Mytilus edulis: one gene and its partners. The protein of the gene in region 1 binds, or shares a complex with, the protein of each later gene. Links are inferred from orthologs where the notes say so. Each region holds a gene or a part of one and is shown on either strand. Other genes may lie near its edges. The genes, in order: DNA polymerase delta subunit 2-like, DNA polymerase zeta catalytic subunit-like and DNA polymerase delta subunit 4-like.

The links.
Region 2: DNA polymerase delta subunit 2-like (region 1) and DNA polymerase zeta catalytic subunit-like share a complex: the UniProt entries of both Homo sapiens proteins name them as parts of the tetrameric Pol-zeta complex. The link is inferred for Mytilus edulis from reciprocal best matches to the Homo sapiens genes POLD2 and REV3L.
Region 3: DNA polymerase delta subunit 2-like (region 1) and DNA polymerase delta subunit 4-like share a complex: the UniProt entries of both Homo sapiens proteins name them as parts of the tetrameric DNA polymerase delta complex. The link is inferred for Mytilus edulis from reciprocal best matches to the Homo sapiens genes POLD2 and POLD4.

Annotation. Positions count from the first base shown.
Region 1 is NC_092352.1:36,394,603-36,401,644, reverse strand, and holds the start of DNA polymerase delta subunit 2-like, read right to left. Parts: upstream 3,533-7,042; 5' UTR 3,456-3,532; coding exon 3,230-3,455; intron 2,022-3,229; coding exon 1,900-2,021; intron 427-1,899; coding exon 303-426; intron 1-302. UniProt on the Homo sapiens protein: Accessory component of both the DNA polymerase delta complex and the DNA polymerase zeta complex.
Region 2 is NC_092353.1:64,604,860-64,611,901, reverse strand, and holds the start of DNA polymerase zeta catalytic subunit-like, read left to right. Parts: upstream 1-2,642; 5' UTR 2,643-2,749; intron 2,750-5,247; exon of another isoform or gene 5,248-5,270; 5' UTR 5,271-5,295; coding exon 5,296-5,434; intron 5,435-6,104; coding exon 6,105-6,291; intron 6,292-7,042. UniProt on the Homo sapiens protein: Catalytic subunit of the DNA polymerase zeta complex, an error-prone polymerase specialized in translesion DNA synthesis (TLS). Lacks an intrinsic 3'-5' exonuclease activity and thus has no proofreading function.
Region 3 is NC_092349.1:58,947,255-58,954,296, reverse strand, and holds the start of DNA polymerase delta subunit 4-like, read left to right. Parts: upstream 1-2,003; 5' UTR 2,004-2,109; coding exon 2,110-2,197; intron 2,198-5,079; coding exon 5,080-5,172; intron 5,173-5,775; coding exon 5,776-5,887; intron 5,888-7,042. Other genes in the region: transducin beta-like protein 2, read right to left, coding at 1,586-1,709. UniProt on the Homo sapiens protein: As a component of the tetrameric DNA polymerase delta complex (Pol-delta4), plays a role in high fidelity genome replication and repair.

The DNA of each region.
Region 1 (7,042 bases):
TATGCACATTTCACAGATTGGGCAACTGGATGAATTTGGATGTGATAACATAAATAAGTTGAATCTTTTATACAACTGTATACCTGCCATCAAGAGTATACCCACAAAAAACAAACTACAAAAACTGCTCTTATCTTTTCAACAATGCACTTTTATTTAACATTTAAAATTGTTAAAACTGTTTTCAAAAATAAACTAAATAGTTAATTCACAATTCAATGATCCTGCTAGTTGCTAGTTGGCATCTTATTTTCCTACAACTATCTCAGAAAGTATTCACAAGCATTTAAATTTCTAAATACCTGTCACTGAAGTCTGTATATCTAGTTTTCCAATTAATAAAATTCTTTGTAACTCATCTTCAAGGATCAATTTATCATTACTATCTGTGTACTTAGACTTAATTGGTTGAGGCATCAAATTATGCTGAAAAAAATACATTCAATACAGTGTAACCTTTCTAATCTGACACCTGAGTATTGCAACATCCTGCTTTAACCGACACATTTTCATGGTCCCAAAATATGACTTACCTCGCAGAAAAAACCTAAGTATTCCAACACCCTACTTAATTTGATATTATTTTCTGGTCCCCCAGTGTCGGATTACACATGTTGCACTGTACTCATTTTTGTGTATTTTAAACCTGTAAGGGTATATCTTAAAATTCCATTGGACTAGTGATTGGAATACAAGTCTCAACATGACCCACTTCAATTTGACTGTGAGAAAACAAAGATATTAATTATAATGTATTCAATCTCAGCAAATGTGTATCAAAAATTAAAAAAAAAGCCTACTTGATGTACATAGTATTTCTGTCTTCATTTCTGCATACAATTCATTCTGCTGATGCAGATTTTGATGCTCAGTGATGAAATGTATGATATAATTACTGTGGCAATATGTAGCTTTTCAAAAAATGTATATAGTATCATTCGCCTAGTTATTCTTTAGTTATTCAAATTTTGCTGCATTTATGGGCAACAGTGAAATATTGTCTAACAACATGAAAAAGTAACCTTAATTTACAGTAACTAGAACTAAGAATGAACTCATAAAAGGATAACTGCACTGAAATACTTAAAATATATATTATCTCCCCTTTAGCTTGAAGCAGAGGGAATACATCATTTAATACACCGCTTTAAATATGAGCTTCAACTAACATCCATCAAGCCGTTTGACAGAAGTAGGCACATTTTTTAAGCTTGGTGGTAATCTGATGAGTCAAGCATTTTCCAACTGTTTGTTTGAAAGTAGTAATGTTTCACCTCTGTACCAAGTTGTGGGAGGTACAATGTATGACTGCTCACCATCACCTTTAACTCGCCATATTATTTAAGTGCATGTCCAAAATCAGGAATCTGTATTTCAGTGGTGGTCAATGATTGCTTTCTGCTATATTTTTCTCTCGTTTGTTTTAGCATAAACATGATAAATCAGACAGTTCATTTTCTCTTTTGTTGTCATGCTGGAGCCTTTTTAAGCTTACAACATAGAATATACATATGCTTTTCTCATAGTTGAAGGCTGTATGTGGACCTACACCAAAGAGGCAGTACTTTGTACTAAACCATACTTTTACTCTGCTTAACAAGAGTTTGGTACTGCCTAATTTAGAAATTAATTTTCATACAAGATATTCATAGAGAACATAGAAAATTTCTTGATAAAATCAGAAACGTACCAGTCCACTTAAACAATAATGAAACCCTCCGAGTCTGTACCTACATGTATATAAACAAATGTACAATATAGACAACAGTTTTGATCATCTTTCTAAAACACAAAACTTTATTCAACTAGCTACATTATATGCCATTACCAACGTTTATTCTCACGTTTAAGTTTTGAAAGTGAATTTGATGTACTTGAATTCAATCAAGTCAATTATACCTCTTCACTTAATTCTTTCAGGATACTAGGTCTAAGTTCCATGTGCTTAAATAGGGTACCAATTATAACACATTTCTCATCACTTTGCAACTCATGCAACTTCTTTATATTTACATCTTTTCCTACAAATAAAAATATAAAATACATGTGAATTCATATACAGTTATCCAATCTAGATTAACTTAAATGGTGAACAATTGTTTAAACTGATTCATGGATTTTTCAAGATTAAAAAAATATTGAACCAAGACTTTTAAAATTGGAATTAGAAATGTGCAACCCAGTCTGCACTGAGATGAGCAACATGATGGGTTCCACTTGTGGAGCAGGATCTGCTTACCTTTCTTTGGCACAGGAGACCTCCCCCCCCCCCCCCCCCCCCCTGTTGGTGAGGTTTATGTTGATCAGTCTATACATGTAGTTTAATAGTTCTGTTGTTTTGTATACTGATTTATGTCGCTTGTTAATTACTTGCCATTGCATTGTCCATTTGTTCTGCACTTATACAAGTTTGATTTATACCCAGGGTTCAATTATATATATGTGCTAAGCAAGTAAAATCTAAGATGGGCAAGTGAAACACATCATGGAGTTGTTCCCTGGGCAATATGAAATTTTGTTCTGGTGTATAACTAAGGTTAGACATTGATTTCTCAGAGGTGTTTAATTATTGGATAACTATTATCGTTTTCTTTATTTGTTTCATATGCATATGCCTGAAAAATCATACACATCGTTGTTTCCCCCACATAATTCTATGTCAATTCCCGTGTGTAAGTCAACATGCGACAATGTTTTATAATGATGAGCACCACCTGCACAGGGATTTCTGCTAGTATTGGCCATTGTTGGCGAAAGGGAGTAAATACAATGTACAAAGATCCAACCAGAATGGGTTTTGCAAACGACTTTTCTGTTGAAATATAAATTAAAGTAGAAAGAAAATATGTCAACTGGTTCAATTTCTACATCATGTACATGTACATTTGATTTTTTTTTCTTTTTTATTTAAAAAGGTTAACTTTGTTTAAAAAAAAATGGTGTTTGAAATCATTAAATTATCTGCCAGGAGAAATCAAGAATGCAGGATTTGGCTTCTGACAGTTACCCCTCAGCTTCCCCACTTGGCCCTAGACCCCCTGCAGTAATTACAACAAGCTTTGCGTGAATATACATATTAATTAATGTTGTGATGTTGCACGACCAAAAGCATACTTATGAAAGTGAAAAGCGTTTCAAAAATACAGAACAAAGCAAAAACAACAACTCAGAAGGAGAAAAAAAACAGGAAAAATGGTGGCTTCTCTGGCATGTTCAAGTTATTTTTTACCCCACTTTGATTTAGCAGCATCCACTACTTTGTCCCTCATACTCCACAACCGTTCAGCATATAGATGAGCATATTGTCTTGAAAAGTTTTTTGATTTCAATCGAAATCTTTCCGACAAATCTTCATATTTACAATCAGATCGAACATAATCTGCATCAGATGATTCTGTCGGTTCAGTCAGTAGTTTTCCAACATTTGTAGTGCCTTTTTCGGGATTAAGTAACATGTTTGTGTGCTTATAAGAATAACAACTCTAGAAACTGAAAACATTCCCGCCAGCGGAACTCTTTAACGTGAAGGTAAATTCTTTGCATGATTTGACAACTTACCCCAAAAATGAATCAAGCAAATCAAAGAATGCAACGTCCAAAAATGAGTCCGACTATATTCAAGATTATTATACACCTTCTAATAATTCCTGTTTGTTTACTAAGTAATTGATAATTATGAGGATTCATCATTATTAGGAATATATAGGAAATATTAACCATTTTGGCATATACAATGACCTACAATGTATATGCAAAGGACACAGTGAGAAGCCATCTCTTAAAACTGTTTTCTTGATAACTTTCATACTGTGTTACACTGTTTGTCATAATGTGCAGTTGCCCATATTATTACACCCAAGTTTTTGAATTTTTTGCATGTGTTATAGAAATTTCATGGAACAATTTTTGGCTGTACAAACTGTTTCCACTTATAAATTTTTCACCTCTATGCCTCTTCCCACTTATTCTCAGATCCGGACATCCTGGCATTTAAATTTTTCAAGGGGTGATGCAGATAGGATTTCTCTAGATTTTTCATCTATTTGAAGGTGATAACTGATTATTTATATTGCTTATTATTTTTTAACCAGAGGATATAGTATGATTAAAATCAAAATAGAGACATTATATAGTGTCTTTAACAATATTAAGTTGGTAAAAGTACTAGATTCAACTGGTGTCAATATATATCAATTAAATTAATTTGCATTGAAGTCTATGGAAAATCTAGAGGATTCTTATCCGCATCACCTCTCAACATTGTTTACATAACACAAATGCTAATCATTGATTGGTCAGTTACATGTTGTGATGTCAATGCAGATCTGAGAATGTCTATACATAATCACAAGTCAAATGCTTACATAGTTTTTTTTTCCCACTTTGTAACATGATCTTATATTGCTACATTTAACTCTTTTAACCTTTCTTATCAAATTATAATAAAATCCACTGAGACTAGAAACAAGAGATATGGAGTATACACAGGACACTTTTCTGAAACATATACTACATTTAACTTATTCAAATACTGAATAACATTTTCATTTTGTGTTTTATTATGAGGTTTCAGTTGCAGGATTTTTTTGTTGTGTTTAAAACCCATTTGTGGTTTTTGGCTGGTTTCTGCTCTATGGTCGGGTTTTTGCCTCTTTGAAAAAAATCCCCTTTTCCAATCTCAATTTTAATTTTTACAACATATGTGCTAGATATGCAAATAGCAGCATTTGAGCATATGTGAAAGTGGTTTAATCCCACTGTATATTGTAACAAGTCAGGCTATCTGAACCAGTTACACTATTATTTTTTTTTAGAGGAGTCAGATGTTTGTGTTTCGTGTGGTCTTTTGTTCTGCCTAATATTTTTGGTGATTCCTCGTAATCTTCTTATGTTTTATTTCATATTCAATATTTCTATGGCTTAAATAAATCAAAACAGAATACAAATTGTTTATGTTTTATTTTTGTGCCTTTATGCATGTCAAAATTTAAACAAATATATCAATACAAAGAAGATCAAAGAAGAAAGAGTAGATCAATTCTGTGTCAAAATAATAAATAAACTCATGATTTTGTTAACATCAAGTTAAACACATTCCTTATAAAATTACCATTAAAACTTACTTACAGCCAAACTGGAAAAAAAAATCTTTAAAGAGGAAACAAGAACAAAAAATATGTCCTTTCAATCAATTTTGTTTTTCATTGAGTTAAAGAAAGCAAAAATTATGTGTCCAAAGTAGAAAATAGAGATCCATCATCATATCAATCGAAAGTTACTTTTTGAAAGACAAGGAAATTCAAAATATTCAATGAGTTCTTTTTGAATCATGAAAAACTGTACCTGAGAATTACATTTTTTAGACTTATAATGCTATTTGCAGGTTTGTCAAAGATTACACAAGGAGGAAAAGCAATATGCTTATCTCACACATTTTTTAGTTTTGTTTAACCTCTTCAATCAATTTATAAAACTGTAATTCTGATAACATATAGAGACATATTTTCTGAATAAAAGAATCAAGAGAATCAACATTTTTATATTTACAGTAAATAATACCTTTTAAAGAAATGTACAACTATAAAGAATAAATAATGTCATTGCAAAGAAGTTGTTTAAAGAGAGAGAAAAAAACCCACATCTTTGATAATCTTAATACATTTGTCTCCGTACACACACACATTCACACCATTTATTTGTAAAGGAAGACCATTCAAAGTTAATATTTCCAGAGTTTTGTATAGAGACAATTTTTGTGTTACCAAGATTCTAAAATGTGCATCTACAATATACTGTAGATTCAATATTTCTTAAAAAAATATTTTGTCTACAGATGAATAGCTGACACAAATCGATATACTTATCAATCATAATATAACATCAAACCTATCCTATTTAATTTTTATATTAAATACATTTTGATAAAGTGATTTATAAGATAAGATAAAGGGATAAAGAAACATAATCTTTACTTGTTATGAAAAAAAATCAACAACACATTACACACTAGAGTAAAGGGAGGTTATTCAATGCTCAAGTTCTTTTTAAAAAAGTATTCATTTTACAGCTGATTGCAATGAGCGTGTAGATAAAGGTAATATCTTTGGTTAGCTAGCTTGCTAGCTGAACCATGAAGTCATTATTAGGTTAGGTATACTTCCCTCCTTTCAAAGTAGTCCTACAGACAGATAAATTGGTTATGTCGGCCTAGTCTACCTCTAAAGGAGGGTAGTTTACCTGACCTAATAATGACTTCATGGTTCAGCTAACAAGCTAGCTAACCAAAGATATTACCTTTACTGACACACTCAATGGAAAAAGGCTGTATTACTTTACTGATTGACTTATTTTGACTTCTTTATGACACCATAACTTTATGATCTGATAAATAGCAAATATTAAATATTACATCTTAATGACACTTTAGATTCTTTATGCAGTTTATACGATAGTGAAAACAATAATGCTGGCAGTTATTTTGTCTTCTATTAATAAAATATGAAAATAAAAAGAAGCAAGCAGTTACATCATTTCATTTAAATGTGACAAGCAAAAAACAAGAAAAAAAAACAAAGGCTAAAAAATAACAATTGAAGACAAACCAAGCCTAAATATCAACATATGTAATTAAACATTCAATGAATGTCCTTAACCATGACGATGAATACATGATAATGATATATAGGTATATACAAATAAATTATCAATGTACAATGTCTATTATAAATGTGATCGGATAAAAATTACTTATATATATATATATATATATATATATATATATATATATATGTTATATATATGTTATAAGATTCCAGACAATAAATTAAAATAAATCATCCTATTTTGTGATGTTTTCCCTCTTCTTAAACATAACTTTCGGTGAAAATATTGTTATTACTACAGATCTTCTTGTGTTGCTATTGATGTCATGATCAGTTGAAACCATAAATAATTTTAATTCTAAGAGATAAAAAAATTCTGACATTCTATCTATTTATGCGACTGAAATCCGAACATAAATTCTCAAGAAAAATTAATAACT
Region 2 (7,042 bases), on another chromosome or scaffold:
AATTTACGAAGAGATGATTTCAACTTCACCATTTGGAACTCTTGATTTAAAAGCTTCCTTGTGAGCAACAACCCTCTATCAAGAAAAGCATGATAAGAAATGCAAGCACGGGAATATCGTATCAATTGGGAGATATATACACCGTATGCAGGTGCTGCTGGAATGTTGCTACTTACAAATGGAAAGTTCACAATTGGAAAGCTGAAATCATCTCTTTTGTCGTAAAGTTTTGTTTTCAATCGACCCTCATTGTCAATTTCTAGATGTAAGTCAAGATATGAGGCCAACTTAACTGTATCTGTTGTATCCTTTATCTCTAGTTCAATGGGATAGATGCGTTCGACATAGTCACCAAATTTTGAATTATTTAGTGAAAGAACATCACCTATATAGCGGAAAGTAGAGTTAAAGGATACTGCTTACTTCTTGTCTTTCTTCCTAAGAAGTTCCTGTATGAAGTCCGCCTCATAATAATAAAGAAACAAATCGGCAAGAAGAGGGGCACAATTCGTTCCCATTGGAATGCCGATAGTCTGTTGAAAAACACGTCCTCCGAACGTAACAAATATGTTGTCAATCAAGAAATCAAGCATCTTGATAATGTTAGTTTCGGAGAATTTTTAGTTTGAATCAGAGTGATCCTTTACAAAGTAAGATTTATCCCTTCCTAAGACAAGAAACTTGTATATTCGTTGGTCATTCTTTTTGATGAAACAAAGCAATACCAACTCTTTCAATTTGTATTTTAGTTTGGAATGTGGAATACTTATATAAAGTGTAGAAAAGTCAAATGTTTTAATACTATTATAAGATGAAAGAGAGTTAGATTGTATGTACTCTAAAATATCTTTGGAATTTTTAAGTATCCACATCTGATTCACGCCACCTCTAGAATAGGCAGTTTCACAATAACTTTGATTGCCGAGTGATAAAATAGATGTTAATAATTTAGAAAGAGGTTTCGTGGAGCACTTGGAAGACCCAATATACCGTTGTTTGTAAGGACACTTATGCAGTTTAGGTATCCAATACAGTGATGGAAGATCCAGTTCATCATCTTTGGTTGAAATTTCAAAGGAACATAGAACAGACCTATGATTATCCAGGAATTCCTCCTTTGGTAAGTGTCGTGAGGGTATATGTTGGGTTTCCAAGTGAATTGTCAATACCTAATTCGTTTATCAAGCAGTTGTAGCAGACAGAGTTATTAGTTAATTTTTAGCTCCCTTTGGTAAAACTCTAAATTTCATATTTGATGTATTTCATTGTTAATTAATTTACATGAAGCTTATTAAGGATATATTTGTTAAATTAAATAGCTTTTTCTATTTTAATTCATTGGTTAAAGATATTTATTTATATTATAAAGTTTAATATTTGCATCGTTGCAAATTCTTTGGTTACCTTCTGTAAGAAATTTATATATTTTATATAAAAAGTTTTAGATTCTTCATTTGAACTCTGGGATGATTGACATTTAGTTGAACCATGGACATTCCAACCAAGATTCATGAGGATAGTGCATTTGCTACATGCCTATAGTACGGGTTAATTTGAAGTGTTTAATGCTCCATTTCTACACGTTTGGCTTTACATAATAAAAGTTGTACTTTGTTGAATAAATTATATATTGTTTTCAGTTTTTGGTTTTCATTTACTTAGATATATTATAGCGCATCACTTTTGGCATCAGTCGTTTTCCGCACACATCAGTTTACAAACTAGAATTAGCTGTGGTCCGCATACCCGAATCTTAGGCAAAATTGTTCCTGCTACACAGTTAATGTACAATGTAATGAGTTTTACACACAAAAACGATGTTGTTTGGGGCTTTATCTGCGGGGACAACAACATATTTGTCGTGAAGGTGTTAAGTGTTTTGCAACATTAGGGTCTCTAAAGATTGACGTAGCATGGGCATTGATTGAACCATTCAGTTTCTTAATTCTGATTTGTATCAACGACCTCACTGCCTTAATCCATTCGGAAAGAGTGTCTACGTCTTCCTTCTCACGCTTATCCCATTGCCTGGCATAGTTCTCGACTGAATCCATCAAAATTTTAAAATTGTATTTCCAATTGATGGATTTCGACTCACGATATTTTGGACCTTTCGTTAACACATTTTGTAGGGAAGTGTTATTAACAATGTTAAAACATGCATAACACAGCTCACATTCTCATATATCTACATTCATAAATTTATAAATGTCATTTCGACTAAACGACGCCATGTAATTGTTTGTTTTGTGCCTCTCCCGTCTAAACCACCTATTTAAAAAGAAGAGGTGGAAATAGAACCAGAAGATCTTCCCAATGAAAAAAAAAACAAAAAAAGAATGTCTTCTGGTTCATTACTGAAGAACAAAAGAACACGCCCCTGTTAATTGTAAATGGGAACGTCTAAACACCGCTCAGGCCGACCTCCTGGGTGCACCCAGGACCCTGTATAGTCATCGTATCTGCACACAGGATGGATGTATATATATTCGTTATACGCTTCTTATTTTCGAGTTAATTTTTGGTAGAATTTGAAATCGAACTTAGATAGAAATAATGAGGACACATGTCACTGATTACACAACCATTGACAACTACTGATCACTACTGAGCCGGGTTTCATACCGAAGTCCGGGTCCGGAGTCCGGTCCGGTCCGGTCCGGGTTTCAGTACGTACCACAAGTTTTCACATTGACACGGATAGACACGAGATGGCGCTGCATATAACAATCACAATCAGCATTCGATGGTCAGTAATCTCATAAATTAAACAACACACAAATCATTTCCAGAAGCATGCATCATTTTTCATACTATTGTTTATTTATTTGAATAGAATGCAGACCGTCACACCAAGACATATGCACGGTACTGTTAATCCGTGACATATGTACTTATGCCTGCTTTGTGGATTTTTCAGAAAGCTTTGACACTGGTATCAAGTTTATAAATTTACCATCTGCGGGAGTAGGTACTTCATTATAAAAATAACACATAGCTGAGGGGGGTGATAGAGCTGATTGGTAGCCCGAGAGGTACCTCGAGAAAGCATTGTCAACCGTGGCAAAGCCAATGTTGACTGCTTTTTCGAAGGGTACCAAACTGCTCTATCACCACAGGAATCAGAAGTTCTATCAATAAAATTCTGTAAATAATAGGAGAAGCTCTATTTATAGTCGACTTTACAGAATTTAATTGATAGAACTACGAGAAGCTCTATTGATAGTCGATTTTATTATTTAAAGAATTTTATTGATAGAACTTCCGATTCCTGAATCCTGTGCTATCACACTCTCAGCTCTGTGTTTATTTACATGTAATTTATTATACTGAATGTCCTATCATTATTGTCTTTTACAGATGAACTTTTTAAAAGTATTTTCTATGACATGACACATAACAACTTACACGTATTAGAAGTGAAGCAAGATGTTTTATTTTTTTATTTTGACAGTCAAATGATGCAGCTTAACGCTATTCCCGGGTGACCCTAGAATCTGTCCTACTTGAAGTATTGACATCACAAAACAATAACTTTTCCATTGTGGCATCATTTGTTTTGTATTATGACGTCACATTTTTACGGGAACCTTTGAGATATCCAGTAATGGCTGAGAAATAGCAATAAGGTGTATAGAATCTGAGCCAAAACGTAGAAATTACTCATTGTCTTTAATAACTTGATGTAAATTCAATTCATTCTTCTTTAAAATGTAAATTTTTGATTGGTCTGGATGAGAGGGTGACATTAAAAAATATTGTCACCAGCTCAGTCATATACTTGATAGAGTAATTTAACACCCTCGTATTAGCCAATCAAAATATGGCATTAAAGTGAGGTATAATAATTTATAATTATTAAACACATGTATATTTTGTATCAATCAAGTAAATCTTGTGTTAAGAATTAATCCAGACAAGAGTTAAATGTAAACAAGGGGACAATTTAGTCTAATCTGTAATATTCAAGTAAATTATGTTCATTGGGATTGCCAACCTTGGAAAGAATATAGTAGGGATAGAAATGATATGATACAAGTGTTGCATGGTAACTGGATGATTTGAAGTCTGCGTTAAATGTTGACAATTGGAACCCGAATAAATGTTTATGTTAATGTCAACTGCACACACCTAAATAAGTTTTTTTTATAAGTATAATATATATAAATATATTATTATGAGACTATTATGCCATAAGAAATTGCATTACGACAATCCAAGAAGAGGGGTTAGTAGAAGCCATTGGCTTATTTAAGTAAACGGAGATCCCGAGATAAAGATATAATATATATAAAGTATAAATGACTTGCCAGAGTATTTACAAAAAAGTGGAGACCCTGTGAATTGCTTATTATACACAGACGATTTTGTCCTTAAGGTTCATGTAGGGTATAAACTTTTTTTTTTTTAACAAAGGATTTCTCTACTTTTTTCTAAAAATAAACTTAATCCTATACTTAATAGAAAAGTACAATAAAAATGTGGGGTTACGTTTAATCATGTAAGCCCACAATCTGCCTTCAAAAGAAGTATGCAGTTTTGTCAAGGTACTTTTTTTCTGTTGAACTAATTGGAGCAGAAAACATGGATAAGGTAAAAAAGATCTATATTACAAAAATTGCTAAAATTTTACAATTATAATTTAGTTTTAGTACAGCTTATATGAAGAAAAAAAAAAATAGGTCACCATTGAGTTGAGAAAGATTTTCAATATTAATGCAAAAAAAGGCATTATTTCACCAAAGGGAGATAATTTGGAGCTTTTTCAATGATATAAACATTTTAAAAATCATCTGGGGCCAAAATGAATTGATTTTTTTGGTTGATTTAAATGATTTTTGTACCATATCATAATATAAATTTACAACTAATACTGTAATAAGTTAAATTTGAAATAAAAAAAATATGTTTAAATTTTTGCTGAATTTTTGTACCCTGGAGCCTCTGTAAAAAGTAAAATCACAAAAGTGATCTTAGGAAAATTCTAAAAGGAAATTCAGTAATTAAATGGCAATATCAATAGCTCAAACACATAAAACGAATGGATAGCAACTGTCATATTCCTGACTTGGTAGACATTTATTACACAAAAAATAAAATATCTCTGTTCATTCAAGTAGGAAATGATCATAATTTATAAAGTTGTTACTCCCAATCACCATCAATTACCAAAGACTTTTAATTGATGTGCACTTTGTTGTGTGATGCAATCAATTATTTTGATTTTTTATATTTTTTTATTTAAAGTCTTCATTTGAATGACTTTTTAGATCTGTTTGGAATGTTAAAGGTGTGATGTTTTCACTGAGAATAGTTGCTACTGACCATTATTTGTGTCCTCCTATCCCAGAATTGGATGTTCGATACTCTGATTTGACACAGTCAGAGATATGGAGAGTCCCTGTAATTAGGGTATATGGATCAACTCCAAATGGTATGTATGTCAAGTAAATGTATCAGAAGAATCCTACATGTACATGCCTTAGTCACCCTATCTTTGGTTGACAATCTTGATACATTGTACTGGTAATAAATAAATAGTTGAAAACTATAAATTTTATTTAAACTTCTTACTAGAAAAATACTTTTTTAAGGTAAATTACAAATTCATATAAACCTTTATGCAACTTTACTTATACCAATTCTGTTCTGTTCTGAACTTCTGGTATATACCTCCGTTTTCTCAGATCACTCCACTTATCAGATGAGCATTTTTTAATTACTTAACTTAAAAAGAGGATATCTTTTATATACAATGTATTTACAATATGATAAAATATAATTTGAAAACGAAATAAGTTAGTTAAGTTGCATTAAATAAGGGTTTAAAATGTCTTTGGTGCGTTAAGGTTCTAGTCGATAAGTGCTCTGCCAAGGCTAATGTTAAAAATATATAACAGTATCTTGTATGCTAATATTTTTAGACTGAACCAGTTAGCTTGGCATTTACCCAGAGGTCAAATTATAATTTTACATATTGGTGTTACACTTTTATTGTCAAGGCTTAACTTCATTTAAAAGAAAGGAGGAATGTTTGCTTTAGCACTGTCAAACATTTTATAATTATAAATCAGATTTAAATATGATCTGACTTTTATTGATAGGTCAGAAAACATGCATGCATGTTCATGGAGTGTTTCCTTATTTGTATGTGCCATATGATGGAACCCAACCATGGGACCGTTATCTGAAGTTATTTGCTAGAAGTTTGGACAAAGCTTTGAATGTTAGTTTGAATAAAGTCAACTCTAATACACAGCATGTTTATAAAATCAACCTTGTGTCAGGGATGTAAGTATGCAAATGTATGAATTAGAAAATGTGTATTTAAACAATTGTATTATTGCATCTTTTGACTTTGTATTGTTTGTGTACGCTCAAAAACTTGTGATATTTTTATGCCCCACCTATGATAGTTTATAACTTTAGGTTGCCTCAACCAAATGTTATGAAACTTATACATACTGCTTATTACCACAAAACACAGATCAAGTATGAATTTTGGTGGCGTCTCTTTTACAGTGCTAGAGGTTGCATTTCTGTAAATATTGACAATGCAATTTCCCATAGGAACTCCTTTTACGGCTAAAACTGTACCACTTTTACTATGAAGTTTTGAAAAAAATCTTATCCTAGAATTGAAAGTTCATATGCACCACAATTTTTTTCAAAGGTCAAAATATAGGGCTGTGCGGCATATTTTCAACGTTTATATGCCCTGAACTTCTCAGAGTTTAAACTTACACTAATTTTCTTAACTACCCCTACCTCGAATGAAAGGTTACCACAGATTTCAATGTAAACAATATGCACGTGTTTATTTACTGGTAACATTCCCAAGTTCTGTCTCTGCGATATGGAACACAGAGAGCATAACTGGGAACCAGTATGTAAACAAAATCAATTTTCTATGAATATTCAATTACTCCCCAAAAGAGGCGTGTTTTGAGAAACAGCTGTATTTACAAAGTGCAACCTAGAGTTATACCCCTTTACAAAATTCAAAATTGCTGAATTTTTCGTTTCCTTTCTCAAACTTAAG
Region 3 (7,042 bases), on another chromosome or scaffold:
CTAGTACCTGTTCGAATGGACCCAGGGCGAAAGTGTAATCAGGGCGAACAGACCCGATAGTCGATACCATCATGACAGTGACCAAAGTTAAGGTTCATCATACCAAATGGACAAATATGGCTGTATTTTCACCTCAAAAACTACTCTGTGTACAGACTTACTTGTGCTGATTGGAAAGTTTTAAGGCCTAGCATCCACTAGATATATAAAAGTAAAATGCATTTTATATTTAAGAAAGATAAAATCTTTCTTGGTTTTTGATGGGCATTTTTTTCCTTTCTGCAGAAGGTGTAAAAATAAACAAACACCTGAATTACTTTGATACTGTCCACTCACTGACTCAGATAAACTCTTTTTTTACTCACCTGTAGTTGTGAAGATACCTCTTGTCCATGTCAAGTAAGGACAATCAAAACAATACAAACCCATTTTTTACCTGAGGGAGCATCTCAAAGTTGTACCACAACTTAGTTAATTTTCACACCATATGCACGAGGGGAATAAAATGCCCGTCAAAATCCAAAAGAAATTTTATCTTTCTGAACATGCTGAAACACAAAATGCATTTAAATTTTATATATCTAGTGGATGCTAGGCATTAAAACTTTTCCAACTTCACAAGTAAGTCTGTACTCAGAGTAATTTTTTGGCACGTTTATACAGCCATATTTGTGCGTTTGTTATGATGAACTTTAAAAAAAGTATCTGTCAACATAATTTTAATAATTTGCCCTAATCTTGCACAGTGACTGTGTAACAGCCACTATGTTCCGTCAGTTACTCTGTTCCGGTTGAACTTTTCAACTAGTTACTTTATTCCGAGTGCAGTTGAAAAGTTCCGGAAAAAAGTAGCTATTTGAAAAGTCTCGGAACAATGTAGCTAGTTGAATAGTTCTGGTGGAACAGAACAACTAGCTCCTTCGGTCAGAATGTTGCCTTCATAACGGAATAAGTTCTAATTTATTTTCATACATTAATCTGAAATTGATATTTTTAAAAGTACCCATATGAGGAGGAACTTTTGGGCCAGTTTGTTAGTTCCGGTTGTGACTGATTTGCCAAAGAGGAACTTTGCGACTAGTTGATAAGTTCCTTTTGACTTTTGTAATCAGTATCTTGGTTCCACTTTGAAAGGTTCAAATATAATATCTTGCGCTTTTACTTTACACCAATTCTCCAAATGGAACTTTGTGACTGGTTGATAAGTTCCGCTGGAACTTTTGGGCTAGTTTGTTAGTTCCGGTTTTGACTAATTTGGCAAAAAGGAACTTTCTAACCATGCTAACTGCTTGATATGTTCCGTTGGTTTCAACTAGTCACTTTGTTCCGGGAGAACTTTTAAACCAGAGGAAGAACAAAGTAACTAATTAATAAGTTCCTTCGGAACTTTTCGGCTAGTTCTTTCCAACGTCGGAACAAAAGAGCATTTACAACTGTGCATGAATAATAGTTTTTAAGTAAGAATAATGCACTTGAACAGTTCAAATTTCTTCTCAATGAGTATAAAGCTAAAGCTTTAATGGTAAAATTCCATATTTTTTTGTATTCTCAATTTTATCACTTAAGCCCAAAAATAAAATAATACCATCTTCATCCTTTTTGTCTGCACGTCTTCCGACACTGCATAAAAGAACGAATAATAGGACTACAGCTCCAACTGCAGCAGTAACTGCTAACGCCGGTACTGAGTTTTCTGCAGAATCCGCCATGCTGATGAGTTGGAAAATATTTTTCGATATTCCTCTTACTTTTTCATATTTTGTGTGGATATCGCCGAAGATTTACGATCGTTTCAATTTTAAAGATTTTAAAATAAAAATCGAATTTTTGAAATTATTAAACACAATTTTATAAAAATTATATCCTATTCATGATAAACATAATTCAATTCTTCTCATATATAATATGTTAACATGTAAAATTTTAAAAAAAAAGTTAAAATTTTCTTTTATCTTAAAAATAGAGATTTCACCAATTTCGTTTCGTCTAATATTTGGAGCATTAGATAAACCGAGATAAACATTACCTACTTTCGCTTTTGAAGGAAGCTGAGTTTGCAAATTAAAGTGTCAAGTTATAACCTGTAAACATAACCTAAGAAGCAGAACAATGAAAATGGCAACACGTTCTTTCATTACCAATTCTTTCAAGTCTGTCAAGACTCCTAAAGGAAAAGATAAAAAGGAACCAACAAATGGTATTTTAAAAGCTGAATTTATATATATACGTAAAATATATTGATAATTATAAAAACTAGAAGCATATAAAAAATGATAGACCCCTTTAGGGATTCTGACTGCAGAGCAATTTTTTGATTTAACCACTTTGAGAGTGACCAAATCAGAAAATGGCTACTGACTCAGGGGATCCCAAAAGGGATTCAGAAATGTAATCCAACTTAGAAATTGGTAATTTTAACTCATTTATTGTAATACACCTTATCGCTATGTGTCCGCCATTACTGGACATCACACAAGTTCCTGTAAAATGTTGACATGAAAATACAAAATATCTGACACCACAATAGAAAAGTGGTTGTTGTATGATGTCAATAATTCAAGCAGGACAGATTCTTGGGTAAATGGGTAAGCTGGTAATAGTGTATATGTACACATGTAATTAACCATATAATTAAAATTGAGAATGGAAATGGGGAATGTGTCAAAGAGACAACAACCCGACCAAATAAAAAACAACAGCAGAGGGTCACCAACAGGTCTTCAATGTAGCGAGAAATTCCCGCACCCGGAGGCGTCCTTCAGCTGGCCCCTAAACAAATATACATGTATACTAGTCCAGTGATAATGAACGCCATACTAATTTCCAAATTGTACATATATATTGTTACATACACAATCTAACAAGTTGAGATATATAAACACCAAAAGATGGTGACAATTCTAAAAATGAATAACTAACATTAGGAAATGAAAAGTCACCTCTTTTATCATAAATACTGGTATTTAGCTTCCCATTAAGGATATAGATATCAAGATCCAGGAAAGGGCAGTGTTCATTGTTAGTATTAGCATGGAAGTATTATATTGACAGGAACTCTAACAAGCGGACTTCAAACGTTTATAGTGCGATGCCGCAAAATCGTTAAGTATCTGTTATAATGAACTTGACATGTCTTATGGATGCATGGGTTCCGATCAATTTTTTGGAACCTTGTGAATGATTGTAATTACAGAACATACCGAAATAACCAGATGTGTACTTAATTCAAGGAAATGACATTTACCGACCATGTGAATGACAAATATGTTAGTTTTTACAGGATTTGCTGCTTAAAAACAAATAAAAAGAAAATAAACGAAATCCCGCGACTGTTTTCACCAAAAAAAAAAAAAAAAAAAAAAAAACTGAAGAGTAAAAATACTCACAAGCCATAAACATTTCAGTTTAAGTTGCAATCAATTTTAAAATAGTAAGATTTTTATTCATGAGAGAGCCATTGACTAAACATGCGTAACTGTTATATACATGGTAGGCTTGAAAATCATAAAATTCTCATGTAAAGTAAAAGGAAAAGTTTTTATCAGTAATTATTATCGCGTTTTACTGCTAACTTTGACAAATATTTTAATAAAGTGTTTAATGAAAGAATTTCAAACAAAAATTTAATCCAAAAGTTGGCCGGGGGGACGGGGTTAAAAAGCTTTGATCCGAAGAAAATATCAAATATTTTGATTTATTGTTTACTAAAAGTCCAATGGCAAATATTTCATGCAATTAAACAAGAAACAGAAACATAAATTGCTTAGCATACAGTGTAAGATGTCACAGTTCAGAACTGTTAAGCTTTTAAACACATAAATAAATTCTAATTTGGTTTCCATGATAAAAAAAAATTAAACTGCATAGGGCCCATCATGGTGATCGTTCTTTAAATGCATCCAGAAATATTAAAAGCCATCCTTAAAAATAAATCTGTCAGACGTCAGATCGAGTAATCTCGGACTAGGTTGAATATTTAAGGTTGTTTACAACTTTGGAATTATCATAAAAGGTGTAACAATTCATCTGCATGTCTCGTAACCTGATATTGCTATGTAGAGGTCATCACATGTGTGTAATTATTAACCTCTTTTAGTCTTTAAAACATATTTGATAAATAAGTTAATAACATTTTACGATAGAGAAAACCATAAATATTTGTGTAACACTCGATAAAATTTTACAATCTTTAAACTAAAATTTGAGTTATCTGGCACCATCTGGCACACTACAAGCGCATCACATTATTTTCTGTTACCACTCTTACTTCAGAATCATGTAATTTTCATAATCGGATATTTCCTGTTTTCCAAGTTCCAATGATTAAAACATACTCAACAAAACTAAAAATAAGCTTGCCCTTTTTCCGAATGCAGTTAATTTTATTATGTCATTCTGTTAAATATGGACCAATTTTTTCGATCTTTTCAGCGTTGTTCTTCATTTATTGAACGGAAACAGGTGTTGTTGTTTATGTGGCAATTAACAAATAACCACGGGAGTTTCCGTGTTTATTTACATTGGTAGGTAGATAAGACAATCAATATTAAATCAAGTGATAAGACCAGCTTCAGTTAAAAGAACAGGCGAAGGTGGCATCACAGATACCCCACAAAGGAGTTATCACGAACTTGTCAAACTGAGTCGGAACCTTTTATTTTCTTAAAGAAATCAGTGGGATGGGAATGTGCTAATTTTTCGTTGGAGTTACTGTCAATATAATACTTCCATGGTATTAGCTTTATTTAAGGTCAGGTAGGCAGGATAAATCTCTTTAGTGTACATACTGAAATCATTGTTGAGATCCAATATCACCCAAAGGACTAAAAGTGTTATTAAATTTTTGAATCAGATGTTCTTTCGATGGTCTATGCTGATTTTAGTCATAAATTCTAACTCATATTAATACAGAAGTATATAAAGTGTAATTTTCCAAAAAGACCAGTTGAGATGAAAATATTAACAGCAAAAGTTGAACATGTACAATTACAAAAATGTCCAGGTATTAAGTTTTTGTTGAATGATATGAATTTCATTGATTTATTTTCACATGTGCATTATCTTTATTTTGTATTCCAGATGGCCATCCAAGCACAAGTAAAACAGATGTAGAAGATGAATTGAAAATACTGAGGCATTTTGATGTCACATTAGAATTTGGTCCATGTTCAGGTATATATTGTTTTATAGAATGATATTCCATCATTAAACAAATTCATATTTGTTTGCCCCTGAAGTGGAGAGGGTATTTAGTTTTACCCTTGTCCAACTGTACATCTGTCCCTACTTTCATACATCCCGAAATTGGTTCCGTTCTCTATCTTTAGCTTGCCACAACCAAATGTTATGAAACTAATACACAATACTTATTACCACAAAAGGACAGATAAAGTTTGAATTTGGGTGGGGTTCACTTTTACCTTTCTAGAGTTGTGCCCCTTTACCAAAACAAATTTTTCATTTCTATTCCCTAACTTCAGTTTGTCTCATTCAAATGTTATGAACCTTATACCCAATACTTATTACCACAAACCACAGACCAAGCACGAATTTAGGTAGAATCACTTTTACAGTTAATGAGTTATGACCCTTTATAGTGTAAAATACATCATCTGTGTCTCGTGGAAAATTCCAATCTTATTTATTTTAGGTAATTTCACTCATAGTCTATTTCATGAAAAAGAATATGCTTCTAATATAGCTTTCATCATCCAATGTTCAACATACCACATAAAGTCAATAAAGTTAACCTTTTACATACATTGTACATTTTAGGAATAACAAGAATGGAAAGATGGAAGAGAGCAGATAAACACGGCCTGAATCCTCCAGTCATTGTAAAGGAAATCCTAGATAAACATTTAGACGATGAAGAATACACAGAATGGTGAGATATATATAATATTGTCAGAAAAATAGTTCATATATACATGATATATATAATATTGTGAGACAAAAAAGTTCATATTATAGGGTTATTGCATGAATATTAGGGAATAGAGTAAAATTTTATATTGCACGAGCTTGCGAGTGCAATATATGTTCTACGAGGGACAATATTCCCCAATATTCATGCGATAATCCTTTTATTGAATAGCAATATAATATTTGTAAGTAAAAATTAGTTTAAACTAAGATTTTGTCTTGATGACGTCATGAATTTTGAAGATTTATTGCACTAGTGCAATATTGGAACTTATTGCACGCTAACTTTTGGTTACTTTCTGTGGGAAATATGATATTGCTATGCAATAAATACACATATTAAATCATATTTTTTTATTGACGAATTTTATTTTAGAAATATTTAAAATAAGGCTACCTCAACTTCTACTTTGAAGTGAAAGTTCATAGGGAAATAGTTTCAATGACGTTTTCCTTTGGGATATAGTTTACCAGAAGCAACAGTTTTCCCCAAATTTATTAATCTTCAGGTGTTTCTAGTTTTGACATTCAGTAACTTCGATATCAATTACAAGTAATGTTTAACATGTTTATCATACTCCACACAGCTGATATATAGCTTTGTTTCTCTTTAAATTGGATCAAGATTTTTTCTTTGACCGTTATGGAATAACTGTTTCACAAATGATATCGGATATGTTCCTTACGTCGTAACTACAACCCCCTTTCCTTTCTTGAATGTAACCTACCAAATAAGACTATTTACCGGATTTGTTATCACATAAGCAACACGACAGGTGCCACATATGGAGCAAAATCTGCTTACCCTTCCAGAACGCCTGAGATCACCCCTAGTTTGGTGGGGTTCGTGTTGTTTATTCTTTAGTTTTCTATGTTGTGTCATGTGTACTATTGTTTGTCTGTTTGTCTTTTTTCATTTTTGGCAATGGGGTTGTCAGTTTATTTTCTATTTATGAGTTTGACTGTCTCTCTGCTATCTTTCATCCCTCTTTTGGTATAACAGAACAGTAAGTGAAGCTTTTAAGTTATTTTCCAATGCTGTACAGTGACTTGAAGTTGTTAGTTTCTGTGACATATTTGGTTTCTTGTGGAGAGACAACTTGTCTCATTGGCAATC